Caenorhabditis elegans: one gene and its partner. The protein of the gene in region 2 interacts with the protein of the main gene of each other region in a pairwise test. Each region holds a gene or a part of one and is shown on either strand. Other genes may lie near its edges. The genes, in order: cam-1 and lin-17.

Region 1 (4,927 bases), on a different chromosome or scaffold from region 2:
CTTGTGCTCAACGCCTAATCCTCTTCTCTGCTTCCAACAGCAGCATAAACAAATTTTCACACTCAAGGACCCGCTTCTTGAAATTTCTCTCTTCTACATTCGGTGAACACAATTCTGAAGCAGCACGAGCAGGAGCATGCACTTACTTTCAAATTCTATAATAATCATTTTGCGTTTCTCTTTTTATCCGATTTACGCTCTCAGGGATGAATGCTCCAGTGTATCTAGGATTTTGAGAAACATATACAAAATTAGCTCATGCTGAAGGTTTCGAAATATCTACTGCAGATCACACATGTTTTAGGAACATACATTTTGGCCAATTTGTTTATATCTACCGTATCATTTCTAATAAAATTATTGTAATCATTTACACGTTCTGAAAGTTTTTTAATCGACCTGAAAATATTTGTTCACATAGTCGAAAGGTTTGGAAACCTGCCCATGAATTTACGAACGTTCATTGGACTTTCTGGACATGTGACAATTTTTCAATAATTTAATTAGAAGATCCATGATCTCATATTTTGTGCAATATATAAATGTTTTCTCTGAAATTTAGCTGTTCTTCTTCGAATGGGACTCTCCCAGAATTCCCGTTTGAAATTCCATTCAGAACATCAACAGGAAGCATATCATTTGGTTTTCTCACGTTATTTCCGGAGTTTGTTTTGGACCTTGATTTTCAAGTATAAATTGGGATTTGGTTTCTAGTATTAAAATGACAAAGTGAAATATTAGAAAAAATATTTGGAAATAAAATCATGCAATTAAACATTTTAAGAACACCATTTTAAAAATTTTACAGTTGAGTTTTTTGATGGGTGAAACACCTAAATTTTTGACAAACTTTCGTCATAATTCCACTTTCTTACTTTTAAAATAAGTGACAATCTAGTGTATATCCAGCTGTGTCAGGAAACTCAATTATTTTCCAAATTGCTTTATAAGCCTTATTAGACAGGTGTGAAAACCCGTGTATTACTAAAATTGCATGAAAGAATGCTCATCTTTTCTTCTCTAAATCTCTTTTTCATTCAATTTTCTTCCATTTTTCATCACCAACTCTTTCTTCTAACTCATTGCTTCACAACTCTTCGTGCTCCTGCTCATTTCTCAGTCATCCATCACATTTATTTTACATGCAAAATGAGTGGAAAAGCGCATCAAAATGTGTACTACTAATATGAAAATGACTTTTTTCCCGTCTCTTTTTGTACTTCATCCTCAATTCATTTCGATTTGAGAAAAAAAGTTTCATTGGTGGTCCTGAAAGTTGTCATCTAATGAAAAAGACCTGCGTCTCTTCTGGAAATGAATTCAGAATTAGAAGAGAGAAAAGTTGTCGAATTCATGACTTAAGAAAACTGAAATTCTATACTTTTTCTTAAATTTCCTCTCAAATTCTCATGATAAATTCTGCGATTTCTGAAATCTCACCTGCCATTTCTCAACTTTTTTTTTAGCCGGCTTAAGCTTTATACTTCAATTCAACTTTTGCTTCACTGAACTTTATGAATTTCTGTTTTTTTAAAGTAATATTTGAATTACCTTTTTTTATGTTACTGGTGCTGAAATTCTCGATTCGAATAAATTTTTGAACTCTGTATATTACCATCTCGTTCCATTTTTTAATTTTTATACCCTAAATCTTGAATATTCCAGAAATGTCTCCCCGACCAGAAGACGACGATCTCGTGATAGAACCAGCCGACGATGAGGGTCTTCACTACGGAAATGCATCGTGAGTATTACTGTCTTTTGATACGATAATTATAGTAATTAGATACGGGTGGTAGAAACTGTAGCTGCCTATTTTGGCAACAAACGGTTCGGTTATTTACTATCAGATTAAATGAATATGGGTCAAATACAAGTAGTTTATTAGATTGCCTCAAAAACACAAAATGCTTAAATCTAGTGAGTCTATAGATGTACAGTTTGCTGACTACAAAAATTTTTAACGACCTCTAAAATGCGCGTCCACCTCTTGGCGTATAAAATATAAACTTTAAAAGCATTTAATCAGTTCATATAGATTTTCATATATGTTCATATAGATCAGTTCATATAGATTTTCAAAAAATGTATTTAAAATAAACCCAATTACTTCTTGATTTCTGAATAAAACCATATGGTTACCGCCATCCGTTCCCACATTCATCAAGCTCGCCCGATGAGTATTATGCAGTATGTGATCTTCACCGTTAGAATCTTGATTATAAAAATAATGTTCAATGGGAAATTTTTCTGCAATTCTCCCTCCACCCAACTTATTATCTTCATTCAAAATCTTGAAAACTTCCGTCGTGTCGACTTCCCATTTTTCATCTTTTTGACAAGTTTGCAACTTGCGATTAGTTTTAGCGCAATTTTTATTAGATTTTGAGTTAAATTAATTGCTAAAGGGGTCAACTTCGAAAGTGATTTATTTCAAATTTTTGTGAATTTTAAGTAGCTAATACTTTGTCAATATCAAAAATCAAATCGTTATGAAAATAATTTTTGGCTCGATTTTTGCCTAAGTTATTTTAACTTGTTAAAAAAATTGACAAACTTTATATAGTGCTTTTAGGCAAAACGTGGGCAGAAGCTGAAACTCGCTCAATTTTTTCCATTTTTCGAGCAATACTTGGATATGGTCTCAGTCAAGTGTTACAAATTTTTTCGCCAGTTTTGTATTTTTAAGAGAAAAGTTGTGTAATATTTTGGTGCCAAATGCCGATATCTCACATTTTTGATGAATTTTGGTAATTAGATATAACATCACGATCCAAAATTTTCCGTTAGCACCCATTCTTTTGGAAATTTCAATTATTATTTTTTCATCCATATTTTGTACCACTATAGAGCATCAAAATGTCATTCCGGATGCGGAAATTGGGTTAACTGACACAAGCTCATTTCCCTCAAACAAACGGAGTGACATGCCCATATAATGGATGACCATTCTCCCACCTCTTCTGTTCTACATATTGCATAATCCACTTGACACCTATATACATCCACCAACACCCGGACGTCTTCCTCCTCTTTCACCCATACAACGGACCACCCCCACCCTAACCGTGACCATCTCCTCTCTCTCTCTCTTTCCCTAATATCTGACAAAACGGACTGACCTCTGCCTTCTTTCCTACTGTCAGTCATCCCCTGTGTCTCTGCGTCTCATTGAATCAGTATACTATTTCTCGGGGATTCTGTCGAATGGGCCCTCCCCGCCAAACGCGCTCCGCACATTCATCCGACGGATGGACTACTCGATTTATAATTTATTGGCCTTGTAATGATGACACATCGTAAAAAAGAAGTTAATTTATCACTATTTATTAGTTTCTTTTTCTAATTAATTTATAACTTTCGAATCATTTTTGAACGGTTTTTAGTGATTAGAAAACAGTTTGATTCCAATATTAAGGTCTTATTACTAATCTATAATAGGCATTTTAATACTAGCTTGATTTAGTCTGCTTAATCCTAAATATCGTTCAGTCAATCCGCACTTCTCCTCCCCGGAAATGAAATATTCCTAAACTTGAATTAGCTGAATTTATCTTGAATTTTTATTTTGGTTTCTAGGTTTAGTGTACTAAAATCCTGGAGATAGTTTTAAACAATCTTACGGTTTTTAACAAACCTCCATATTTTGCCATTTGGAGAACTATTCTTTAAGTGCGCAAGATTTGTTTCCACAACTTTTAACTAAATTCTAAATTATTTTTATATCTTCAGCCTCACATGTAGAAAAATTTGTCAAAACTTACTTTTTTATATTCGTTATCAAATCTCTTATTTTTCTTCTTCTCTTATCACCGATTCCATTAATTTGACCTGACAGCCGAGCATGCGTTCCACATCTTTTACGTCATCTATCTATTACCATTCCATCTTCTTCCCGTATTCCAAAACTCCCTTCACACCTTTTGTCTATACTTGTTTCCCAGGCTCTGTCAGTATATTTGCAATTGGATCAATATCCTATTACTCCTGAATAGGCTAATGGAACTCGCATTTCGATGCGAATAATAGTCATTTAGGTGGGCTATTATTACTGACTAGTGAGTCTCGTGTTCAGGTTTAGATGAAATTTTGTTTTGAGGCAAGGTTATACCTGATAGAGCATTTTTGATTTCGAAATTATTTTGCTCAGACTGAACTATTTCCATTTCTTTCAATGGGTGGCAAACTGCAGTTAGTCAATTCACAGTCAACTTTCTTCAGGCACAGAAAAATTGAGTGATTTTTTAAATTTTCATATTAACAATTCCACCAATTGCAAGTACACCCAACAACCGAAAGTGATTGTAAGATCAAAACATTGGGTTGAAAAGTGTTTGTATCTATCTCGGTCTCTTCTTCTGTAGTAAATTGTGCCTAACACACTGTTTCAATGTTTGTGATCCACTTTCCAATTCCGTTCTCATCATCATGTTTATCCTTGTCGGTAGTCGGCTTTTACTGGCTCTCTGTAGAGACTGTGATGATCTTTTATAGGAATTTGTGATTTGTTTGGACAACTTGGAAGTCAATTTTTTAAACTTATACTCCCTAGAAAGATTATTTTCAGAAACTTCTTAGTGTAATTTTTCTTATGTTTCTATTATAGTTGCCCAAAAAATTTCAACACCAAAAAACTACATTGCTTGATTCCAAATTTGAAAATTCGAAATACAAGTCACATACACACTCTCAAATTTGGCACCATGAGCCCATTCTCCATCTCTCTGTGACTCTTCGAATTTCCCCATGTTCTTTAGTTCATTGCAACTCCATCAATCTTCATCATTATTTCAACTATTTACGCGCCCCCAAGTCTCGCACACACACGGACAACTTTCGTGATTTAGTGAGTGAGCACAGGGTCCCTTTGGTGGTAGAAGAAGAAGCGAGAATGAGGAGCCAATGGTGGAGAAGGAGCAAATGTTCG
Region 2 (5,135 bases):
TTTAAGACATTACGGTAACATTATGACAGGCTCTGGTTACAATCTGCTAAAAATGACGTAAAAATCAGAAAATTAAGCGTGAGGTCTCTTAGAGGAATGTTAGATTTGGGGGATGCGAAAACGCGGAGGATTTGCCTAGTTTAAGCCTAGGAAGTAAGTTTTCTGTTATTGTAATATGATAATTTGTAGAATAATGGCAAAATTTCACAAAATCCATTTAAACCTTCTCAAAAAAAATTAGCCCTCTCCTATTCTAATTTTCGCGTTTCCACATCCCCCGTTTCAAATTACCCCTCAAGGGATTTTCTCGGGTTTTAGACGATTTTTTCCTTTTTCATGTAACTTTTGACAAGACAAAACAGTTTTTAAAAAATTGCCCGAAAAAACAGAGACTTATGGTTTGTGTAGTCCTCTCGGACAAGCGAACTTTCTTTTTTGTCAGTTTTAGCTATTACTTTTCTAGATTTTTGGCTCGAACTTGGATTTTATAGAACTGTTTAAAATTATTTTGCCAATTTCTAAAAACTAAATTTTTAAAGAAAATATGAAAAAATATTAAAAACTTTTTGAAAATTTTTTCGCAAAATTAAATAATTGAGAAAAATTTTTTCATTTCGGAAAGTTTTGGATTTTCTGTTAAACCCTAAAAAGCTACTTGTCCGAAAGTTGACCCATCCCAATATTTTTCCACTTTTACTACGTGGCCGCCAAATAAAAACTTCGGCCACTTTCTTCCTCACTTGCTCGCAAACGGATTTGCAGCTTGTCACGGCCTGTGGCATTCCAATCGGGCACATTGGAGCAAAAACGGAGCAAATGAAGAAGTGAATGTGTGGATGGCATTTTGTTTTCATCAACGGCTTGAAGTGCTCCGTGTGGGTTTGAAGCTGAAAGTACGAATTTTTTCTTAGGATTTCCGGTCCAAACCCTTAAAAATGTTTTCTCCGGCACCCTTGTATTGTATAGAAATCCCTTCCACTGGGTGGGCTCCGGGGCTCTTTTGTTGTGGTCCCAAAATGCAATTAGTATGGGGGATCTTTTCCACAACCCATTTCCCTCCCCGTTTCCCCCCTTCGAAATGCAAATGCGTATCTGATGAAAAGGGGAAGAGCACAGAAAGAAGAAGAAGAAGAACGGGAGGTCGTAAAAAGTGCGGCGGAGCAAAATTAGAAACATGTTTTAGACGCTGGTGCCCCCTTTGAGGTTCCGCCGCCGCCGTCACCTCGCTTATCAGTTTGTTATCGAAAAACGTTTAGCCGGTGTGGTCATAAAAATGCAGTTGTATGTAAAACCAATATTTGGATAGAGAGTGGGTTTGGATTTGAACAAAAAACAAAAAATTTTAGTAAAAAACCACCGTGCCGGAGGAGTGGACCCCAACCCACTGTGTGCTTTTCATCCCAAAAATTTGTTAACCGGGTCTCGAAACAAAATAAGAGTGTGCGCCTTTAATTTTGGACTAAAATTTTAGCCTCAAAATTGTTTTTTTTTTCAAAAAATTTTGGACTAGAAATTGGACTAAATATGTTGACCTAAAGTTTTGATCTAAAATTTTGGACAAAAATTTTGGATTAAAACTTTTGTCTAAGAGTTTGGAATAAAAATATAGACTAAAAATGTGGCCTAAAACCTAATTTTTAGCTTAAAAATTGGACTAAATGTTGAACCTAAAATTTGGGTCTAAAATGTTTGGCAAAAAATTTGTCCTAAAAAATTGGCCAAAAATTTTTGACTAAAAATGTTGGCCTAAAGTTTTGATCTAACATTTTGGACTAAAACTTTTGAAAGTTTTGAATAAAATATGGACTAAAAATGTGGCCAAAAACCTACAATTTTTTACTTAAAAATTTGAATAAATTTTGGCCTAAAACTTTGGACTCAAATTTGACAAAAATTTTCGGACCAAGATTGGGACGGAAAATGTTGACCTACAAATGCGGCCTAGAACCTACAATTTTTGTCTAAAAATTTGGCCTAAAAATATGGCCTAAAAATATTGCGTAAAACTTGTCTGAAAATTTGGGCTCAAAGTTTGGCCTGAATTTTCAGACCAAATTCTGGACAAAAAATGTTGGCCTAAAGTTTTAGACTAAAATTTGGGCCTAGAATGTCCTAAAAAATATGTCCTAAAATTTTGACACCTGACTCCTTCTGCCATGATAAATTATGCAGCAATTAAAATTTTTTTGAAATAGGCCAAAATCCCCATTTCCAATTTCCCAAAAAAAAAAAACGGAGTTAATCTTTCCCGCGGCACCATATATTTTTTGACCGTACCTCTCCCCCTATTCATTTCATCCCCCTTTTGTCTCATTTATTTTTCGCGTATTTTTGTCCATGTTGATGAGATGGGCGATGGCCAGAGAGCGTGTGCACCGGCCAGTGCGCAGACTTTTTGGCCGAGACCAGGGGCTCTTTGAAGTTGCCGCTAGCGGGCGGCGGCGGCGACCAGCGTCAGTCGGTTCCCTCTTTTCTGTGTGTGACTGGGAATGGGACACCAATTTGAAAATTTAACTTTTCCCTCATTCTCCATTCCTCTATGCAAATCACCCGATTCAGGAATTGATAGAATATGGAAATTATTGGTGAAGGGGGCTTACCGTGTGTTGATCGTTGTGTAGAATGGTATTCGGGAAATATGTGTAGTTGTAGGGCAGGTCTTTGCATAGCTCAATGTCGATCGGAATGCATTTCCCTTTCACCGCCTGAAAAGTTGAAAAATTGGTGTTTAATCTAGGAAAGTGGCACGACTAGATGCGCCAGATTTGACGGACAAATTCACTAAATGACCATAGTGCATTAAAACATGGTGCATCAACTTTTTAGGATATGGGTGACGCACCGGGTGCACCATATTTGACGCGCAAGTTTTGTAAACTGTAAACTTAATAACAGAGATCAAGGTGCATCGACTTTTCAAGTGACTCACCCGGTGCACCATATTTGACGCGCAAGTTTAGGACAGAAGTCGTAGGCTTATGGTGAATCGAAAATTTGAAAACATGGTGCAACGGATGGGCAAAGCATCAAATACATCCGATTTGACGCGCAAGTTTAGTGCAATTTTTTAAAGGCATGGTGCATCGATTTTTCAGATTTCCAATAAGTCTACCTGATCGAAAATTGATCCTGTGGCGAGTGGAATAAATAGTAGAATGATGCCCAAAGAATGCATCATTTTGGAGAAGGAGCCAGTCTCTCGAGGAGCCTTCAAAAAGTTACGGAATAATTAGAGTCAATTTTGAGGAGCGAAAACGAGAAAATACTAAAGTTGAGAGGAGCGGAGAACAGAAGAAAAACAGGAGAAGAGAAATGGAAAGTGGTCCATGGGAAAATTGAAATTTTGGGAAAAATATCTATAGTTTGGTTTTAAAAAAATTTCAAAGCTCTAGAAAAATCATACCAAACCCAGAAAAAAAATTAGAGGCTCCTGGTGAAGCAGCACCCGTCTGGTTAGCATATAGAGAGAGTAATGGAGAAAGAAGAATAGAAGGAAGACGTCTGCACAAACACACACGGTGTGTGCTGCGTCTCGTGCTCTCTAGTTGGCTGATTTAGGCTCCGCCCCCTATCAGTGGTCACTATTTGGGTTTGATGTGCTTTTATAAAAAGTTGTTAGTAGATTACCTAATACAAAACTTTCGTGATGAGACCCAAAATCCGTGGGACTTATGAACTTCGTGGTGGGACCTAGAAATTTTGAAAGAAACTTTTTTTCGGGAAGAAATAGGCATCTTTTCAAATCCCAATGCGACAAAAGGGGCACGAAAAAACACCGAAAATCAAAATGTTTCTGTACTTACCGATGGAGCCCATTTGCATAGTAAAGCTCAATTGCATCATCTTCTTCGATGGAATACATTTTTGTATTTTTCTCCGATGAAGCGCATTTGCACCATTTTTCAACGAAGCGCGTTTGCATAGTTATTTCTCAGTGGAGCGCGTTTACCTAACTTAGGCCTAAATTGAATATTTTAAATTAAAAAAAAATATTTTGACTCAAATTACAGTGAAAATTGTTGCAAAAATCTGGAGAAAAAACTCGGCCACTAAATATTTTTCTAGGCCACGTCCAATACAGGCCAGGCTCCCAGTTAATGAATTTTCAAAAAATTTGAATGGGGATTGAGTATCTAAAAAGACATGCATATCACTTTTTAGATAAGCCTAGAAATTCGATGAATTTGAATAATGTTTTTGTGGCCTTGAAAATGGAAAACTCGGCCATCAGGGGAGTTTGTAGATTTCTCCAGTTTTCAACAGAATAGAAAAGTCTGAAAATCCGGAAAAAACGAAAAAAAAAGAAAAATACTAAATTCAAATTCAAATTCAAAAAGGCCTAAAATTTCAAAAAGATGGAATTCAGGCGGCTCAAAATCGAGACAATATTTCAACGTCAAATTAGTGGGCGAGCCTAAGGGATCTCAAACAGAAAGATCTCCGTTTCTTTCTTAATGTCTTGATTTATTAGGTTCTTCGTGGATAGAAGGGGAGATGGAGAAAAGACGCACACCACCCGATCGATGATGTCGGAGGAGGAGGGTGGGCTGTAGAATTTAAGAGATTTATGACATAGAGACCCGTGTCATAGGCAATTGTATGTGTATACGACACATGTATCAGAAGAAGAAGAAGGGGCAATTGATACGAACACACACATCTGGACAATGATGAACGGAGAATGAAGAAGAGAGATGGAGACGGAGGAGGTTGAGGTGGAGAAGTTTTTGAAAAGGTAAAAATGCAAATAAGGACTAATGGGAGGATTGGAGACGAGATCGTCAATGGGCTGGAAAATAAGTTTAGGCCTCAGAAGATTTACTAAAAAAATTCCCAAATTTTACAACTTTTTGTTCCTCAAACAGAAATTTTCCGCTGATTCCGAAAATCTACTTTTTGTGTCTCTCACTCTAAAGCTCACTGAGTTACGGGGGTTTTAGTCCAGCGACTGAAAGATGAGAGAGCGCAGAGAAAGCAGACACTCTCGCGCGTCTGCGACCTCTCACTCTCTCACACGCCTGTAAAAACCACTGTAACTTAATTAGTTTTTTAGCTAGAGAGATGAAAAGCATATTTTTGGAATTAGCGGAAAAATTCGCTTTGAGGGTATATAATGTCGAAATTATTGGGAGTTT

The links.
Region 1: the proteins of lin-17 (region 2) and cam-1 interact in a protein complementation assay, tested with the Caenorhabditis elegans proteins (one study listed by BioGRID).

Annotation. Positions count from the first base shown.
Region 1 is NC_003280.10:9,307,042-9,311,968, reverse strand, and holds the start of cam-1 (Tyrosine-protein kinase receptor cam-1), read left to right. Parts: upstream 1-1,664; 5' UTR 1,665-1,667; coding exon 1,668-1,744; intron 1,745-4,927.
Region 2 is NC_003279.8:2,705,672-2,710,806, reverse strand, and holds the start of lin-17 (Frizzled-4), read right to left. Parts: upstream 3,209-5,135; 5' UTR 3,179-3,208; coding exon 3,113-3,178; intron 2,706-3,112; coding exon 2,601-2,705; intron 889-2,600; exon of another isoform or gene 888-888; coding exon 741-887; intron 1-740.